4 linked regions of the Drosophila melanogaster genome follow. The protein of the gene in region 1 interacts with the protein of each later gene in a pairwise test. Each region holds a gene or a part of one and is shown in the gene's direction. Other genes may lie near its edges. The genes, in order: CG4617, CG3610, CG17362 and CG14110.

Region 1 (5,770 bases):
TCTTAGTGCTTTAGTTTGGGCCTTTATCGCGAGGTCATAGGTCATCTACAATGTATTTGTAATTGCCCTAGATGGGCTTCATATCCTATTTTCCTGTGTGTACTTAATGTTGCTCCTAATTAGTTGCCCCTTGCGTTGCCTTTTTACCATTTTGGTGTAACCAAATTCAATAATCGCTCTTGCCTTTTAGACATTAGGACTTAATGTGTGTCGCCTTTGCGTACATAACACATATATACATATATATATTTAGCATTTTTATATAAATTCTTTTTTTTTGAGTTAGAGAGAGAGAGAAACGCGCAGCAACCAAATACTGTGATACGCATGTTCATGTCTTCAAAAACAAAAAAATAAAAATGGGAACCAGAAACTAGGTTTCCAACTTTGCTGTCTTCTCCCGATGCCGAAACAAGTGTACTTAACAATCGAAAAAAAAAAACGCAATTGCAATCGTAGCCGTAATGCCTAATTGTATTCAGTGTGCCATTAGCTTTAGGGACTTAACTGAAACGAGTCAATATCATGAAATTACCTTAAAAGAGTCCTTTTCCAGCAACGAACTTTGGCGGAATTACTGAGGGTTTTCCTTCAACTTCTGCTGATTTTCGCACAGAAAAAGTCCTACTTCTAAATGTCCAACTAACTAGCTAAGAAACTAACTAACCTTTATACAATTGCGGGCTAATACGAATCGTATGGAGCCCGCGACTAACAGTATATGTATTGTATTGTATTGTATTTTATATGTGTATTTTTTTTATTATCATATATGTATATGTATAACTTATTTGCTAGCGAATAAAGTGTCGAAAAGTTAATATCTGTTTTGATTCATTTCGTTTCGCATGGTTTTTACCAAGTAAAAGAGTCTCCAAGTGTCGCCAGTACTCCATGAGCATTTTGTTTCGCCTTCCTGCCAAGAAAATCGCCACCTTGCACAACCCACCTGGCAAGTGGGTGGCCCAGTGGGCGCCTACTGCCGTGTGGGTGGCAAGGTCGCCTCGCTGCGTGTTGGTTCGCATAGGACGATGGTTTCGTTGCGATTGTTGTTGCCGCTGCTGTTGTTGTTGCTGCTACTGGTCGTGGTCGACATGGCCCGCGGGTGCCAATTGTCAAGGTCCTCGTCGCCGTGCTCCTTGGCCCTGTGGTAGTTCTCCAATTCGCTGGCATACTTGCTGCTGGTGATACCAAGCAGGTGGGCCAGCCCACCGCCCACATAGTCGATGCCGGCCAGGAATCGGTTGCCCATCCTGCTGGCCTTGTAACGCAGGCGTGGTCCCAGCGGCATTTCGCTCTAAAAGGTGGCAAAAAAAAAAAAAGCGGGCTAAATGAGTCACGCTAAATGGTCAATGAGGAGGGGGGCGGGGGGTGGCAGCTGCTTATCTTTTTCGTGGCCCTGGGCCCTGTTTGTTTACTTAAACAGCTCAAAACACACATTTTCATTGAAAGATATAAAATTTCTCACATTATTATCATAATTCGCTTCGAACATTAGTCACGTCTCGAGCTCAAAGTGAAAAGTTATTATCTGGATCAGGAGAACTGGGCTAATCTTGAGCAAATTTAACTAACTGTGTTAATCCGGACAATCCCGCTTTAAAAAAGGTAAACAAGCAATGCAGCTACATGACCATGTACTAAATGGATGGCCGGAAGTGCATTACTCCACCCATAATCCTTGCTGAATGTATGTACCTCGTTTAAATGGACGTCGTAGCATTTGTCGCCCATTTCCGCATCCGCCTCGTCCTCGCTGCCCGAGGACAACTCCTCCATGACGCCGTCGCTAAAGTACAGCATGCGCTTGTTGGACTGCAGTTCAAGGGCGCTCACATTGTCCGTCTCGGATGCACTTGCTCCACTCGCAGATGCCAGTTCCAATCCTCCAGCTGCACTGCGTACTTCGCCACTCTTGTTCCTCTCCGCTGACATGGCTATGGATAGCTCTAAACCCGATTAAGTACCGCCTCGATTGATTGACGCTGCGCGAATGTTTTTGCTTGCGCTTGAGCTTCGTTTGAATCGCAGCCGCCGTTTTGGTCATGAAAAAAGCGGACGCGGGTCAACGCCAAATGCGTATACGGCCGGCTGGGGGCCAAAATGTCCTTGGGTTGGGGGCCACCGGCGAAACGACTCACAAACGGCGAGAATCGCGTGCCATGGGGCGCTTGGCGCAGTTAGGTGCAAAGCAAATCGATAAACTAAAAGCCGCTTTCAAACAGCAAAAAAAAAAGTCGAAACAAAACAAAGGTGCGGCAGTGTGACCAGCTGATGGTTTTTGCAAGCTAACTGGATATTAATTTAGATGTATTGTAATAAAAATGAAATTGCAGTCGTATATATCGTAAATGTTTTTGTTTATAAAAATAATTAATAATATAATAAAAAAATTAAGTTGTGCGTGCACATCCTGTGCTTATAATTTAAATAATATAACAATAAAAAATATTATATTATTAAATAATTAAGTTTAATGGTTTCCTACTCTGTACAATTGACTGGTGCAATGGTTATTAACTTAGCAATATATTCAAAAACTAAAATGGTTATCTAGTGTTCCATATTTAACCATCGCTTGCAATGCATCGCGTTTTAAAGCTCTGGTCACACCAAACAGCTGTTTTGTTTGCTTCGTTTAATTCGTTCTTTTTGCAACAAATTGCATCCCAATCTTCCAAAGCAGGTATCCAAACATGGAGTCCCCAACCTCGCACCTGGTGGCCAAGGGTGAGTGGAAAAAGCGGCAGCCGTCAATGGAATCGGGGTCATAAATTCCCAATTAGATTTCCAGGTGACGGGTGTTTCGCGCAGCGGACGCGTACGCAAAAAATCGTCGAAATTGTTGGATTTTGAATCTCCGGATGAGATCGAGAAGCGCACAAGGCGTCACAGTGGCGCCAGACAGCCAGCCAGATATTCGGGCCGCGGCAGGCCATCGAATGCGCTGCGTGATCTGGATCTTGACCAGGAGATGCTCGTGGATGATGGCATTATCTCGGATAGCGAGGAATTCCATCCGGATACAACGGCAACGGTCGTGGCCATTCTGAATTCCGACGATGAACTGGACAATCTGGTGCAGGATATCGTCGATGGTGTCCAGGCGGAGGCCACCAGCCAAGAGTCATCCGTCCGTCAGAGTCTTTACATGCGCGAGAAGTCCAACAAGCGGCAGGTGCTCAAGGACGGCAAGGTGGTGAGTGCCAAGGTGCAGCGCAAGGACAAGGGCAAGCAGCGCTACACCGCCTACAGTCTGTGGGCCAAGGAGGCGCGACAGAAGGATCTCCAGGATCTAGGTAGGTTGCTACACATCTGTGCGCTCTCTATCGCTTATTGACCATTCCCCGCACGCTTGCAGACTTCACCAGCGCGACCAGACGCCTCAGCGAGCTGTGGGCGAACGTTTCCAATCGGGACAAGAACACCTGGCGGCGCAAGGCCAAAATCGAGGCGTCCAGGGCCAAAACTCGCGACAAAACCGCTGCAAACGGTGCAACCCAGCCGGCGAGCAACGGCAGCACGGCTCTGGCAGATGCCACGCAGCACGAGACGATCTTTCAGAACCGTGCGACAACAAGTCGCACTCGAAAACTGGCCGCCGATCGGCAGCAATCCTCAATAGAAGCGGCTGCCGCAGCGGCGGCAGCAGCAGCGACTGGCACCAACACACAGCGGCGCAGCATCAGCACACGAAGTGCCAGGTCGCAGGTCTCGAAGAGCGCGACGAAACAAGCGCAAGTGCACACGGATGCGGACGTCAGCGGCCGGACTGGGGGTCAGCTGAAGCAGGAGGAGGTGCAAAAGACCAGCATCGAAGTGATCGATGCGGCCGCACATCTGAAGCTGCTCGGCGAGAGCCTGACTGTGATTGGCGAGCGACTGAAGAAGCACAATGGATACGTGGCGCTATCGGGCAGCTTGTCCGTGCTCCTCGACAGCCTGCTCTGCGCCATGGGACCGCTGCTCTGCATGACCACGCAAATACCCGGCATGGAGAACAATGTGCAGTTGAGCAAAAATCTGGCCGACACGCTCGACAACATCGCCTACGTAATGCCCGGACTATGAAGTAAATTCCGGATTGCAACTGCAAATGCATACATATATATATATATATAATCATACCAGGCCGCTGCGCTTCCAGCGGCGACTAGAGTCGCCATCGGGATCTGTATGTTTGTAAGGAGTTGGCCAACCTGGAAATAGTTAATCGCATTAGATATGCCTAGTTGATAAACTGAAGCATCTAGATCGTAAGTAAAAGGTCTCCCTCTAATTGAGTTTTTTTTTTATTTGCTTCTTGAATTGAAATTCGTACGCTAAAAAGTTTAGTAGTTCACTTATTTATTTCCACTTTTTGTTTTTTGCAACATTTAAGCACAAATCATCGAAACATTGGTAGAATTAGGCAACATTAAATATCCTATAATCCTTAAGTGAAATAAATGTGAATCACAAGATTCTTATTTCAGCTTCAAATTAAGCAGGCACTTTTTATAATAAACGTAATAAATAAAGATAAATATAAAAGCTAAAAATATGAGATGATTTCTTCCTCTGCCCAAAAATCTTTATAAAAGTGAAATATTTTTAAAAATGATCTCAAATAAGCCATAATTGAAGGTTCGAATAGTGGAACTATAAGCTAGATATAAACTTTAAATATTTATAAATACGTTAATTATTTGCTTACTTTCTAGAGATGGCACTTCGCTGGTGCGCCATCGATGACTTGGCTTGCCGTTACAACGGCGAGCTATCGATGTTACATCGCCGCCCTGCCCACCACTAGCCAGTCCGCGGAAAGTAAATAAGAAGACGGACGCCAAATCGAATCTTCCCACATCCCCGGATGCAGTGCAGCAAGCTCTGGGTCCCTGAGAATCCTGCGTGGGCCTGGGATTCCGAATCCTCTTCCGCCCCGGATCCGCACGTCAGCGCGGCATCCGCATCCGCCACCGCTTCCGCCCACGCACAGCATCCGCAGCCACATCCGCGGCAGCAAAAAAACGGTGAGTTTTCCACCTGCATTTTTTTTTGGATTTTCCGGGGGGGGGGGGGGCAGCAGCTGTGATTGGGATGGAAAATACTTGTGTAGGTGGACGGTCAGGTTGTAGGGGCGAATTGCGTGACGGCAGCGCTACAAATTGGATTAGTGCGGCGATTGATTCTGAATGGGAGATGTAAACAATCTTCCTGTGCACTGAGAAAAATAACATGGTAAAGCAAGGCACAAAAAAAGATGGAAAGATTGGTTGAATAAGATAAAATAGGTTTAAGACTAAGCTGAAATATCATTAGCCAAAAAACATGAATGTGAAATGAATTACTTTAAAGGATTCTTAAGCACAATTTGTTTAGAAAATAAATTCGATTCAGTAACTGTTAAATTCAAAGCTTAAAAAGAAATGGAATACCTTGCGATTTGCAGTCCAGACATTTTCTCGCAGTGCACTAGCTCCCCGCCCGCTGTTTTGTAATTGGCAATATAAGGAATGCCCGAGGTATCTATTTTTATACCGCTTAGCATAGTCGTTATGGTGATAAATTCCGAAGGGGGGGTGGGGGGTTTGTTCGTTATGCTTTTCAACCCCGTGACCTCCCACCGCGCCCAATGGGGCATACTTTTGGGGGCGCCGGGAACTGGGAGGTGTTTTAATTCCACCATCGTTGGTTTATTGAAAAGTTGTCATAACTCAGAACAGACAAGCCAGCAAAGTTTCGAGTCCTCTCAATTGCGGGCAAATACAGGCAGATCTTAAAACTA
Region 2 (5,406 bases), on another chromosome or scaffold:
CCATTTCAACTTCCTAATAAGAATTTTCCTGCTTTGTAAGAAGCTCCAAAACATGAAACTATGAGTAGCAAATAAATTCCTGAAAGGCAAATTGATATTTTCATTTTCAATAAAACATAAACGCGACCTCAGGTCGTGCCCCAAGTGAACCGTCTGTTTGTTTGTATGGAAATTATATGAAAATTGCACTTGAAACTTTGTCTTGAGCTGTCTGCCACTTGCAGTTGAAAGTTTTTCCGTATTGCTGCCGTCCTGCATCTTTTTTCCGGAAATTATTGATAGTCCCGTCTAAAGTTACGAAGAAATTTCAATATTAAATGGATTCAAAGTTAAAGTGTATAAATAAAATAAAATCATCTGCACAAATCCAGCAGTCAAGTGCCTTCGAACTAGCCACGGGGGCCAAAGGGTCAAGGGGATAAAGTTTCGTTCATGTGGTTGCCCAGTGGAATACAAGAAACCCTATATGACCACTATATATGCACGGTACATGGCGATTCAAGCACTTTGCCATTGTGTACATTCCTCACTTGTCCGACATTCCAGGTCAACAAATAGCGAAAGGCTTGCCTTCGCTTGAAAAGGGTTCCCTAAATCAGTAGATATCAAAGGATGTTACAGGTGAAATAATATCTCGACACTACTTCTAACCTAACGTAGGTAGTATGTAGCTTGATTTAAAATCTAAATAAAACCCTACCCTCTCCTTTTTTTTAAGCATTTACATTCGAGACACATAAATGTTAAATACCAATGAAAAGCCCCGCGAAAAGTTCGTTGAACCAGACATGGCAAGTTTCTCTCCGAAGATGGTTTGATTAATTGACGATGACCTGGCTAAAGACTTAATGCCGAACTTCCGTGCGAGTGGCAGATATACTTATTATATCAATTAAGGTAAGCAACAATGCTTTCTATTGTCCCCCCCAGTCCAGCGATTCTGCTGTCTCATAGGGTCGGACCGCCACTTTCCATCATCCATCCAACTTAATGTGCAATAATGAGTGTCATGTAATGCCAGACGCGTTCGATTCGAATTGCCAACCAACCAACAAACAAACAAAACTGAACTCAACTCAAACAGCAGCTGCATTGGCGGCTAAAGGAAAATAAAAGAGAAAAACCCAATGCAGCATTAGCAACGACAACAAATTAACATTTTTCAAAACTTTAAAGCCCCGACATGCGTTGACACTTTCGGGGAAAATTGCGTACAATTTCAAATGCAGGCACAAAACTTTACGCGTAATTACGACACTGGGGAAAACAGGAGGAAAATATAAATGGCAATAAGGGGGGGGGGGGGGGCACAAAAAAAAAACAAATAAATAAAACAAACCGCTGGCAAATCGCGTTCGCTGCGCCGTTGACAGTTGTAAAATGGAAAGGTTATCCGGACCCTGGTCGGCAAAAACCATGGACAGCCAACAAATGCGTCGAGGAAAGTGCCTTCGGAAGCTGCAGCTGCTACTGGAGCTACTCATGTCCCATTCCCCATGCCCCCCCGCCACGAACTCAATCCCCTCCTGCCACAGAGACTCCGCCAATGAGCTTCTGTCGTGGACAGTGACTGATGGTCTGGGAGAGCTCCGCTCTTTTCTGCCTCCAATGATTACGATGATGATGAAGACGGCGATGACAGGGCAGCATTTAACCAGCGCTCAGCAGTTAGATAACTATATATAAATTATGGAAGCCAGACGATAAAAATCCTCGACAGATCGCTCTAGAACGTCTACCATAGTTTATAATTCTAAATATACGTATGTTGAAAATGTTTGATTGCAATTGTGAACAAATTATAATTGGTTTTATCTTATTTTCCAATATACTCAGTATTCTGTAAATAATTGACTTTTATTTAAATACCTTTTTAGCTCAATAGCTGTTTTAAATTCAGGAGAAATATTATTTCTATTGAGTGCAATGCATTCGAGCTCAGAAACTCAATCGTTTAGCTCGGTTGTGATTTTCCATACAAATTCGTATGCAAATTCAAAGGTATATATAGCCAATAGTCGGGGCAACAACGCGCTCGCAAGGGAAGCACTTGAGCCTTACTTTGATGCACATATCCCCATTAAGTTGGCCCCCGTCGAGCTTGTGGCTCCCAATGCGGCCATGCAGTAGGTGAGAGAGAGAGAGAGATCTCTTGGCCTCTTGGCCCAGAACCCACTCAAATATGCTAATCCACTGGAAGTCCACACAGACCTCCACAGACAGCCCACAGTAGAGTGCATGTTTCTGAGCTTCAGGAAAAGTAGTTGCATAAAGCTACAATGCCTTTCCAGAATCTCACAGAGGAAGTAATTTGAAATTACGGAAGGACAGGCTTTCAATTACGGTAAGCTAACTTACCGATATAAAGGGAACATTCTGTAATCGTGGGCAATTGACAGATTCTGTCAATGACAGAAAATCAAGAAAAGTGGCTTTATATTCGCAGCTTAAAAATATTAGCCAGCTCTTATCTGTTTCACTTAATTCTTCATAACATACTTGTAATTTGAATTAACCTGAATATTATTTTCTAAACTTATTTATCCAGCTGAAAACTGTCGTTTTTTAATATCTGAAAATTTTCTAGCAGTCTTCAGTTAGTCAGTAGATTTCGTTAGGTTACTAGCACAAAAAAAAAACATTTTGAGTGAACTAATACCACTCAAAACGCCTTGACATATCACATATTTCATTCCCAGTTAAATTTTCCTAAGTAATTTCTTTAAAAGGAAGTGGTTTGTTTTCTTGAACCACGATGGAAAATCTCCAACCGGAGTCGGATCGCGTTGGCCATATTGTCTGGGATGAACCGGGAGCCTCGATTTTTGCCACCGCCTCCCAGGAGCCCGTACCGAATCTTCTGACCGAGTTCAAACCAATGCCGAAGGGCGAGGACGACTGTGTTTCTGATAAGGATGTGTGCCGCATTCTTACACAGTCGTCTGTCGCGGAGAGCTCATTGTTCCGAATGGTCAAACACCAGGTGGACGAAGTGGCCGCCATGCTCAACAGTCACCTGCATCCGCGCCAACGGAAGGAGCAAACCGATGTGGATGTCACCCTCGGTGTAGCAAGGGAACTGGCTCGCCAGCAGGTGGAGGCCAGTAGATGCCTTCAACTTCATCGCAATGTGGAAAATTTGAGGGATCTCGAGATGGAAGTGGCCCGTGCCCACACAGCGTTGGCTGTCAAGAACAAGATCACCAACAATATCAAACAAACGGTGGAAGATAAGCAGCGGGAGCGGGCCGAAGCTTTGGCGGAACAGCGAGCCGTGGAAAAGGAGCTGAAGGAGGAGAAGCAAAGAAGGGCTCAGAAGGCAGCCGTGTTTCGTAGAGATCTAATGGCCCAGATTACCGAGGGGCGTACCAAGCGGATACAAGATCATCGAATAGCTGTGGCCGAGGGTCGTCAAGAGCTAAAGGAATGCAAGGAGATAGTGGAGCAGGGAATCCTAAAGGATGCAGTTACAAAGGCGCAGCAGCGCAAGGTGCTCCTCGAATCCCTAGACCAATCGGCAGCCATGTTGAAGCAAACCCGCGAGGCCTACGCTCTGGCCCAAAAGAATAAGCCCGAGAGAGGACTCCTTGATGCCCTGGGACCCGTTACGGCGGCCTATGTGTCAAAGGCACGGAAACGACGCCTTGATGAGATCGAGGCCAGGGACATTAATGCCGCTCGGCTGGGCTTCCAGCTCAGCCAGATCAAGCACGATCTGGAGTCCCGAGATCAAGTCATCACCAGTCTGCTAATCCGCGAGCACAAGGCCAAGGAGAACGCGAAGGCCTTGGAACAGGCTAGAACCAAAATGGCCAAGAAGCAGGAGATTCGCGAACAGCTCCTCAGCCAGCGGGAAGAGCAGAAGTTCTTCCGAGATAAGGGTGTGCAGGATGCCCTGGTCATGCCCAAGGATCCCATGTGCTTCGGCGAACGACAGTATCGAATGCAAGTGGCCCAGCGGGAGAACACCCGGCGCTTGGATGTCCAATGCTACCAGGACATGGCCCACATGGTCGTGGAGGCCAAGAATAACAGGAAAGCCGCTGCCCAGGAGGTGGTTGACATTGTACAGGAGGTCTACAACCAACAGAATCGCCAGGATGAGCTTGTGGCTATTGAGCGGATGAAGCTGCTCTCCAAGCAGCCACCTGAAGTTCTTTCAGCGCTCAAGAAATCCATTCTCACCGAAGAGGAGATCAAGTCTTTAAACCTTAAGAAGTAGTTAATGAGTTTTCATTTAATACGCGCTAGATGCCCGTATTAAGGCTTGTAGAAACAAAAAATACAAAAAAGTACTTTTTGTTTTTTTCTTCGGGTTATTATTAAACCTACGCCCCCCTGGATGTTGGCTATTATTTATCAAGTATACTACCTCATGTGAAGCAGCCCACTGGCACAGGATGTGCTTAATTTTCCATTTTGCTGCTCTGCACTTTTAAATAGACTTTGCTGGCGCTGCCGGGATGGCAAATGAAATTCACTTTCTTATCCATTCTTTGGCCAAGCTTTTGCAGCAGGTCAGGTTTCCAGGTTTCGTACTCGAGCAACCGGTTTACCGACATTGCAGCTGGAAATTTGTTTACAATAATACGGTTCGAACGCACGCAGATGGGAGCGTAAGTGCACTTTGAAACCGGGCTTACATACATTTCCTTTACTTTCCATTTCTGGACTCATTAGCCGGCTGCCGGAGGAGACAGGTTTATATTTCATAACTGGCTGGCGAAGAAGGCTCAAGAATGTTGGCAAAGTCAGTTTTTTGGCAACCATTTTGGAGCACTCTCTTGACGACCTGCGGAAACTTTCCCTGGCAATAACTTTGGCTCCAAGTTTCAGCTTCAATGTGCAGAAAAAAAGATATATTTATGCTTTCAGTACACTGTAAACTATCGAAAGAAACTCTTTTTGGGTGCTGCGAGCTCAACTAGTTCTATAAACTGTAGTCATACTATTAAAATGAAACATGCTAGTTGTACTAACCAGGAAATTAGGGAAATTCTTGTTAGATCAATGCTTGGTTTCTTTCAGTGCAGACTTATAGAAGCGACCAGCACAATCACAACCCAGTTTCTGTTTCAACTTAAGTCTGCTGAATGGTGTGAGGTTGTTTTGTCTTTTCGACTCTGGTCTGGTCATAGAGGAGCAGCTTGGTTGGCAAACTTTTTATGCCGAAACTTTTTTTTTGGGCCAGATCTTCAAGTTGGCCAAAAAGATGTGAAGTTGTGTGCACAGGCGTGTCTGCAGCTCTTCCACCTGGAAGAGCGTTACTGGCTCTAATAGGAGTTGAGTCGTCGTGTGGCTGCAAATGTGTTTGCATTGCTATGAAATTGGAAACGAGATCTGCAAAAGTTGAGTAATTGAGCTGATTCTGCTTCGTTGGTCACTCGAATCGAAGAACCTTTCCTC
Region 3 (4,275 bases), on another chromosome or scaffold:
CGAATATCAATTGCATTAAAATCACAATTCTATCTGTTTGCACATCCATGCTGTTTTCCTACTATTTTTTTTGGAAAAACTTATAATGGGCTACCAGCGTGTGTTTTCGTATTTGGTAATTCCCGCATCATGGCCAAGATAAAATGGATGGGACCGTGAATCATGCAGTTGCAGCTGCTGCGGCAGATGCGGTGCCAGGTGGTCAGGATGTGCCAAAAATAAAAGTTAAACAAACAACCATGAAAGGACCCGAATGGCGACTGGATGTTGTGCAATTTATGGCTCTCATGATCTCGGCGGTTTTTGGACTTGGGACTCCGGAACCGAGCAAAGGTCAATGCAAACTAACGAAACGCAGCGACGGCCAAGTGCATTATCAACAAAAATTCCATTTATTTCGGTTCGCAAGTGCAGCAGCCACAAATATTCATTTACGAAATGGGATTAAACAAAGCGGCGCACAGATAAGTTTTCACAGCAAGTACTTGTATTTAAGGACTTAATTAAGTAACTGGTGTGTATATACATTTAAACAAAAATAAAAGCTGCAGAATTGGAATTATATGTACAACGAAAATACATGCAAGTTATTTTATAGTTATAGAATTTGGGATTTCTTTAAACATATTTATCAATAGCTTTAAAATAGATTTTAAAATAAAATGTAGTGATTTTTGAACCCGAACCCACCTGACTTATTATTAAGCAAGGCCTCCAATTCGTCGACGTCGTCCGGATAACTGCCATAGTCGTCATCATCAGGCACATTGGCGGCATCACGCTTCCGCGTGCGTTTCTCGGTATGCTCATGCTGTTGCTGCTGCGGTACGCCATCCAGATCCATCGTGCTGGAGATGTTCAGCAGGATCGGAATGGCGGCCGAGTCGGAGGACGTGGCCAGGACAGAGGCGGACACGGAGGCGTGGAGCAGGAGAAGGCAACCGTAGAGGAGCACGGCCTGGCCCAGTTGCATGGCCATCAAGTGGCAGCCGTGTGGATGCAGCTGCTGCTGTTTTTGATGTTGTTGCGCCATCAGCTGCAGTCGCCGCAGTAGACAAGGCAACGTTAACTTCGCCATTTTGTCATTTTCGCACCGCCAGCCGCTTCTCAACACATTCGCAATTGTTTGCGAACTTTCGCCATTTGGCCAAGAAGTTTCCGTTTGCGTCGTTAGCAGTTTCAGTTTATGTTATAGTTTGCAGCTCGAGTTTCGGTTTTTGGTTTGCGTTTCCGCTGCCTCAGTGGTTTATAGCTCGCTTTGGACAAATTGGCCAAACCCCGGTGCACATTACGTATACGTCATGCTGCACATTACGTATACGTCGCCGGCCGCTGTTGTTGCTTTTGGTGCTGGTGGTGATGGTAGTGGTGCTTCTGCTGCTGCTGCTGCTGCTGCTCCTGATGATGATGTTTAGCCTTGTCCCGCCTGCCGTTGTCAAGTGGCCAACTAGCTAGCTGCCTGCCCTGCATGATAATTTTATATAATTTGCCCCCGCTGCCACAAATCGGCTCGAGTGGCGCTTGTTTTTGTTGGTTTTACTTCTACCGTTGCCGTTGCGGTCAGCAGCGTCATCATCTTCGAGTGACCCACTAATGTGTGTTGCATGTGCAGCACCGCTGCACGTCTGCCGCCGCCTTCTAGTCGGGTATTAATTCCATGCAAACTGCAGATTTATGGCACGAACTTTGCGAATCTGGGTTGGTCCTCTTTCGGTCTGCCGCGGCTCGTTATCCCGAGCTGAAATTGCACGGAAAAAGGTCAAACATATAAATTTGTGCTTTCACTAAAATAACCATAAATAATATGAGTAGTGCGTGCCATCACATTAAATAATCACGTAGATTACGCGTTTGAAAACGTTTTCTGAAAGTGAACGCAATTTTAACTGCGTGTAGATAAAGTGGATCTATAAACGTTCGTTTTATATTGTAGACGACAAACAATATATTATTTTATTCCACAACATAAAACGTTATATATCTACTTGATTTATAAAAGTATTTACAGGTAACCACCAGGGGCTAATATTATTATCTAAAATTTCTAAAACAAATTGATAATCAAAAAAACATCTACACAGCTGGCCCAAAGTAAACGAATGTGTGTTTGTTTAATCATATTTACTTTTGATTCATGAAAAACGAGATTCGACTGATATGTTGGTATATAAACCAGAGGATTGAGCTTTCTTCGTTTAGATCACAAAATCTCCCCAAAACGAAAATGAAACTTCTTCTGGTTCTGGCATTGGCAGTCTTCGTAGCCCACGTGGCTGTGGCCCAGACAACTGATTCGTCTGACGATGGAGATTACTCTTACGATTACGCTGATGACAACGATACTGCCGGTAGCTCCGAAGACAACACTGCTGATTCTGGAGACACTAGTGATAGCTCCACTGACGTCGACAGTGGAAACGACTCTGGGGACGTCGATTCCTATGACGACTACGAGGGCTCTAGCGATGTTACGGAAGCACCAACTGCTGCTCCAGTTGTCAAAAAGAACAAAAGAGCTGGTGCCAGGAAAAACAACAGGAACAACAAGAATAAGGCAGCAGCTAAACGTCGCAATGCCGCCGCTGCCAAGAAAAGTAATAACAAGAAGGCGGCTAAGAAGCGAACACCTGTTGCCGCCAAGAAGCGGGCAAATGCTGGACCCAACAAACGTAGGCGCTCTGGATAAATCCAGTTTATTATATTCGTAGCTACAAATTATAAAAATAAAAAATTATACCAAAAAAATTTGTTCCCAAAATTACCAAGATTTTTTTCTATGACGTTTATAAGTTAGGTTTTGAATTAATATATAATAATGATAATGATATTTACCAAGAATGTGGTTGTTGGGTATGGGTGTTTATTATTATGAATTTTGTACAAAACTTGAATATCACAGAAATTTTGAAATATATTTAACTATTTCACCCAATGTTCAAAAGACAAGAAAACATTCTACATAAGTTTTTATCGGCACGTGTTTTTTCCCTCATTTGTAAATAAATATATTTTTGATAAACAAAAACATACACCGCATATACTTGAAAAATTATATAATTTTAAAGACGTTTAATGTCATATCTATTTTTTCTATAAAACTACTAGCAGGTCGCCTAACGCGTAAACCATAGACAAATTGTTCAAAAATCCAGATAAGACATTTGTGACCTTGGCTCTTTTAATATAAAAGAGTTTATATTACTTTTTCGTGCTCTAACACAAAATATAATTTCATAATTTCAACATATAGCAATCGAAAAATGTTAAACAAATACAAGCAGCACACACAGGTGCTCTAAGCCACCGAAAATTAAGACGATGAATTAAAAAACCAATATTTGCATTCTACAGATGTACATAGAAAAATAATGTAAAAAAGCTTTATATATTTATAAATTTCTTCAGAGGAGAAAAAACTATAAATACCCAGTGTTGAAGACTTTTAAACTCAGACGTTTATACCTAAGGTTACCTATCTGTTCGTTGACTCTATAGATACAAAAAAAAAAAGATGAGGCTGCTGTTGGTTTTAAGCCTGGCCATATTGGTTGCCTTCGTAACGGGTGCTGATGACACTGACGATGACTATTACGATTATTACGACTATGGTGATGACTACTATGACGACTCTGATGTAGAGTCCAGTTCGGAAAGTGGTGTTGGTGCATCCAGTAGCTCAGAAGATGATGCTAGTACCTCCGAGGACAGTTCCTCCGGCGAAGCTTCCGATACAGGTAGTTCTTCAGAAACTTCTGGAGATGGTTCCTCCGCCGAAACGACCTCCAGTTCAACTCCAACCAAGGCAGAAAAAGCCAAGAAAACTGCTGCACGCAGAGCTAGACGGCGCAGGCGCACCACCACCGCTGCTCCCAAACGCAAAGTAGCGGCAGCCGCGTCTGCCAAGAAGCAAACACCTGTTGCCCAAAAGAAGAAGACACCTGTGGCAGCCAAGAAGAAGGCGAATACTGCCGCCAACAAACGCAAACGCACAGGCTAAGCAGTTCGAAAAAAGGATAAATTCCCCATAGTCACTGAAAGTTTTTACATCAAACTTTTAAGAGGACCAAGAGACATCTTGTAGAATCTACATTAGTCTGGGAATATTTCATATGTTGTTTTCTGTACAAAAAATCCATATAAAAATACAAAGATAAGGAGACGTTTTGTAATTTACCAAAAATATACATTATTAATCCAAAATATACAACAATTTTGTATTTGAGGGCTTAAATGATCTTTCTTCGGAGAGAAACTAATCATTACAAATCGTTTCTG
Region 4 (4,817 bases), on another chromosome or scaffold:
TACATGATCATTAGAGAGCGGTGATCATAAGTACACGAGAGAATGTATGTATGCTGCAAACTAATATATACTTTTCATATGTCAGTCTGACGGTCAGCGAAACAGATCACTGAGGCACATTTCAGTTGAGCCCGATCTAATTAAGATCACAATCGCCATCCATGGAGGTGATCAATTGCGCAGATCAAAGATCAACAGAGATCGGCGGAATAACAGAATGACAACGCTTGATTGGACGTGGATTTCCTGCGAGCGAGTGCAGCTGCCGGCGATCGCGGTCAGAAGAACCTCATAAAATAACAACCAGATCACCGAACCTTTCCAGATTGACCCAATTTCAGAGAACCGGCTCGAGAAGCGGCCGAGCTTGGGAGGCTGGGCGTCGAATGGAGGGCATCGAAGGTGTTAAAAAAACACACACACACACAACCAGTTCCAGATCCGAGACATTCTAGATGGCTATCGCTGGGAAGGGTACGACCACAGCCACATCAGTTTGCATAAAATTTCACCAAATATAATATAGTATGAGTACCAAAAAGTTGGCGTACTTTCGTTCGGACCTCGAGACATCGCGAAGTGTAAACAAATCTCGAGAAGATGTGGAACTCTTTGAAAGAGCTGCAGTGGGAAGAAAACCGGTAAGCCCCTAAAGAATTCCCCGCCGAGTGGCTAAGACTGGTACTTAAGCACCGCTCGCCAGAAGATGCGATCAGTTGTTGTGGAGTCGAGCAGCTGACCAGATCAACATGAGGCCATACCAAGTAGTTTGCATCGTAGGTAAGTCTCGCATATCGAAGCTGACCAGTTCTGGAAGTCCCATAATTAACTGGTATGCGCCCATTTCCTTTTTAGCAGTAGCAGCTCTGCTGCTTTTGGAGGCGATTCCCGCGGATGCAAAGCGGCGCAAGCACAAGGGCTCCGATCATCACTATGAAAAGTCTGATCCCCACAAGACCAAGACAAAGACCAAGTGGTCTAGCTCCACGGATTTGGCTGGAAACACTCCAATTTCCACCGAAGAGCACGGCTACTATGTAAAGCGCACCTTTGCGGCTCCCGGTGAGATTGGAGCCGCACAGAAGCGTCTAAGTCCCCCCTATTTGGCCATTCCCATCGCCTGGTTCAGCTGTGAGTCGGGCCAGAAGAATTGCCAGTCTTCCAATTCCGCGGCTATCAACAGTGCCGCGCAGTCCTTGAGCGAGGGCTATCTGTGCGACGATGATTGCGATGAACTGTACGAGCCCATCTGCGGCAGGACCACCTCAGAGGTGGCCGTTTTCTACAACAAGTGCAAGTTGGGTGTAGCCAAGTGCCGATCCCACGGTCTTTGGACGGACTTCGCCTATGCCGAGTGCCAGGCGAAATATCCGCAGGAAACTGCCTATGCCGACAAGAAGTTCCGGTCATCGCCTTATTTCCGGGATGCGGCCATCGTGGAGCAATTGAAGCTGGAGGAGGAGAAGCGTAAGCAGGAGGAGGAACAACACAAGCTGGAGAAGGAGCAAAAGAAGAAGGAGAAGGCTGAGAAAAATAAGAACGAGAAGGACAGCAGCGAAAGCAGCGAGGAGAAGGATGACCAAAAGGAAAACAAGCAGAAGGATCCCCTTTCCCTAATGCCACAGAAGAAAGTGGAATCCACCCAGAAGCCAGTGCCAGTTCCTATTCAAGTAGCAGTTCCAAAACCAGTTTCAGTTTTGGAGCCTGCAAAGACGACCGAGGACATCGCTATGCCGCCTATGCCACTGAAGGACACTCCCACGCCCAAACCTCTGGAGATCGCGCCCCTTCACCAGCAGACCCAACCCAAGGGCAAGGACATTGATAGGCTCAAGTACCAAGTAGCTTAGAAAGCAATGGCTACACAAATCTCACCTAATTATAGTATTTATTTAATTTATTACAACAAATAAAATTCTAAACAACGATAATCATCTATATTTGATAAACAAAATGGGTTTTTTTTAAATACACGCTTTGTAGTTTAAACGTGTATTGGACTACAATTTTTATGGCTAACTTTAATGGTAACCCGACTTTTATATTGTCATAAAAATAAAAATCATAAGATCTGCTTAGCACTTTTATGTAGATATTTTATATGGGATCGAAACGCACTTTTATTTTCCCAAAGTCAGTAAGAGTGTCTTCTTAGTTCTTATGACTCCAGACCAGTTACACTATTTTTCAGATCCCTTGAGCATTTAATTACTGAAATAGGTGCATTGTACATTTACATAGCTATATCTTTGGAAAGACATTAATCGGGATCCAACATTTCTGTGACAAACTAGTATAACTCGAAGCAGATTTAGTAGCAAGGGGAAAGGTGTGTGCAAAATTTGTAATGGGAATGAATACACCTATGATTCTTAACGAACTCATTCTTGATAATTCTTTATGGCCTCTAAAGAACTTTGTGTGTTAAAGTAACGGGTATAACAACTTCAACTTTACATATATATCTTTCAATCAGATAATTTTCAAAACTTTCTTAGAGGCAAATTCACCTCTTTGTAATTAAATTGAGAAGAATTCTAAGGCGATGCAGTTGCATTGAATCAAGTGCATTGACCCCCAAAACAAGTTCTATAAACTGATTGATATCTGAAGCTTGAAAGGGCCATCATCCATTGCCAGGCACTAAACCTAAAAACTAATTGGGCGTGGGATGGACAATGCAACAGGTTGCGGCTGGGTTGCCTATAAAAGCAGCGGGATTTGTGTCACTTGTCACAGAAGTTGACCAACTGCAATGGGAGCCACTAGTGTCGGAGTTCCAGTCTGGAAGATTCAGCTACTGATTCTGCTGAGTGCAGGTGAGAATATTCTAAAAGTTGTAGCTTGTGGTATTTAGTTTTCCTCTCCTAGTTGTTCTCACCATTCAAGCTGCTCCTGTCGAGGTAACCGAAGGAGTGACCCAACCCCCAGCCGAGAAGCTGCAAACGGAGTCTCGTTCCCGTAAAGATGAAGAGCTGGAACTAGAAGAAGACCTGGATGGACGTAATGCCTATATCAACAATCAGTTTGTGCCAAGCGAACCTGCAGAAGTCCTAGAGGATGTGCAGAATACGCCGCTCTACGAGATCCTTCAAAAGCAGATGGAACAAGTGTTGGCCTCATCGGCTCCCAATGACCCTGTCTACGAGCAGCACCGCGAGAAGCAGGATCGTCGCGATCAGAAACCACCACACCAGCCACCGTACTTCTCCGGCGGAGATCGAGATGGTGATCTACAGGATGACTACGAGGACGAGGAGGATCAGACGGATCAGGGTTATCCGTCGGACCCCGAGAAACCGGACGCCGTGTCAGATGCTCCCGAGGATGAGGACCCAGGCTACCAGGCACCTTCGTTGAGCCTTCCAACCACCACCACTCGCAAACCGTACAGACGACGCAGCACAACCACTTTTCAGCCACGAACCACCAGGACAAGAACCACTGCTCAGCCCAGGATCTCGGAAAGTCCATTGAACCAAACCAGCACCACAGAGCAATCACCAAATGTGACCACCAGCACTCCACGGCCCAAGATTGGTTCCAGCACCAAACCCAAGGCAAATCCTCAGCCGGGAAACAGCCTGCCAAGTGACCCGCAGGTTTACCAGCACAAGCGTCGCATCATCTTCAAGACCATCTCAACGGGCTCGCAATTCGTCAACTCGCCAATTGGCGACCTAATGATCAAGTTCTCAATCGGATTTGCCAAGCCAACCACTCCGGGTGGAGCTACCAGCACTGCGGGTTCACATAGTTCGTCCAGTGAGGCTTTACGTGCTCTTTCGCAAAACTTAATTCGAAATTTTGAACTTCAAAAACTAAGAAGAGCCAATAAAGTGCAAAAATATTAGATATACATTATTAACGAAAACAAAACCACGGGTTTTCAATTGGATTCATGTTTTAATGTACTAACAACAATGGATTCGAAGACTTTATGAGTAGTAGCTATATTTCGAACAAAAGATATTTTTAAAACCCTCAGTTGAAGAACTTAATTCTATTCTATTACCTCAAATTCAAAAATTTCGAATTGTGTTATAGAAATTTCATGAATATTTTAATCACCACAACAGCAATTGCTTGTGCAATAAGCAAAACATTCGATTTGGAGCGAGGTCTGCTAAAATTATTCCAGCGGGAACCAATCATTGATCTCCAAATTGTTGAAAACAACTTGAGATGACGCCATAAGAATATACATAACCAAATCAGAAAATGTATTCCGTCACGTACGAGAATTTCGAGACAATGACAATAGATCCACATGTACGGTTCGTGTTTAGTAGAGTTAATACACAAAATGGAGGTGAACAGTCACAGTAACAACAACGTCATAATCCGTAAAGGAACATGGTTAGCTACCTTAGAGTAAATATAATCTAACTGCCTTGGCTATTCGGTGCCCAATCGTTGTTTTCATCGAGTCTCATAGGTTGGTTAGTTCGCTAGGCGATATGTAAGCTTCATAAAAATATATCTATGGAGGGTATTTCACCGGCGTTATGAAATTATAAATGGTTAACAATTGTACATATATACCTGTCTAAAAGGCTTTATGAGGATGGGTTTATGTTTAACACGGAATTCAATCTTGTGAGGCAGCCTTTGACATTTTTAGCTATTGAATGCAGCTAATCCTAATCCAAAACAGCATTAGCGCACGGGCCAGAATCTCTGGGCCAGGAGAGGAATGGTGACGCCGGTGACGATGCTGGAAATCAGGTTGACACTATGGTTGTCCAGGATGCGCAGTCCGCTTACGTGGCGCACTCCCTTTCCAGGTGTATCCACAATCTTGCCTTCCTCATTGA

What was found.
Region 2: the proteins of CG4617 (region 1) and CG3610 interact in a two-hybrid assay, tested with the Drosophila melanogaster proteins (one large-scale study listed by BioGRID).
Region 3: the proteins of CG4617 (region 1) and CG17362 interact in a two-hybrid assay, tested with the Drosophila melanogaster proteins (one large-scale study listed by BioGRID).
Region 4: the proteins of CG4617 (region 1) and CG14110 interact in a two-hybrid assay, tested with the Drosophila melanogaster proteins (one large-scale study listed by BioGRID).

The regions. Positions count from the first base shown.
Region 1 is NC_004354.4:7,101,321-7,107,090, reverse strand, and holds CG4617 (uncharacterized protein), read left to right. Parts: upstream 1-2,599; 5' UTR 2,600-2,696; coding exon 2,697-2,730; intron 2,731-2,786; coding exon 2,787-3,299; intron 3,300-3,361; coding exon 3,362-4,071; 3' UTR 4,072-4,256; exon of another isoform or gene 4,257-4,381; 3' UTR 4,382-4,536; downstream 4,537-5,770. Other genes in the region: CG8300 (uncharacterized protein), read right to left, coding at 977-1,297, 1,699-1,935.
Region 2 is NT_033777.3:14,842,452-14,847,857, forward strand, and holds CG3610 (uncharacterized protein), read left to right. Parts: upstream 1-2,591; 5' UTR 2,592-2,755; coding exon 2,756-4,222; 3' UTR 4,223-4,286; downstream 4,287-5,406.
Region 3 is NT_037436.4:13,984,431-13,988,705, forward strand, and holds CG17362 (uncharacterized protein), read left to right. Parts: upstream 1-2,189; 5' UTR 2,190-2,224; coding exon 2,225-2,686; 3' UTR 2,687-2,754; downstream 2,755-4,275. Other genes in the region: CG17364 (uncharacterized protein), read right to left, coding at 691-1,078; CG9040 (uncharacterized protein), read left to right, coding at 3,512-3,997.
Region 4 is NT_037436.4:13,382,056-13,386,872, forward strand, and holds CG14110 (uncharacterized protein), read left to right. Parts: upstream 1-2,733; 5' UTR 2,734-2,755; coding exon 2,756-2,819; intron 2,820-2,871; coding exon 2,872-3,854; 3' UTR 3,855-3,870; downstream 3,871-4,817. Other genes in the region: ImpL1 (Ecdysone-inducible gene L1), read left to right, coding at 750-1,850; CG10171 (uncharacterized protein), read right to left, coding at 4,660-4,817.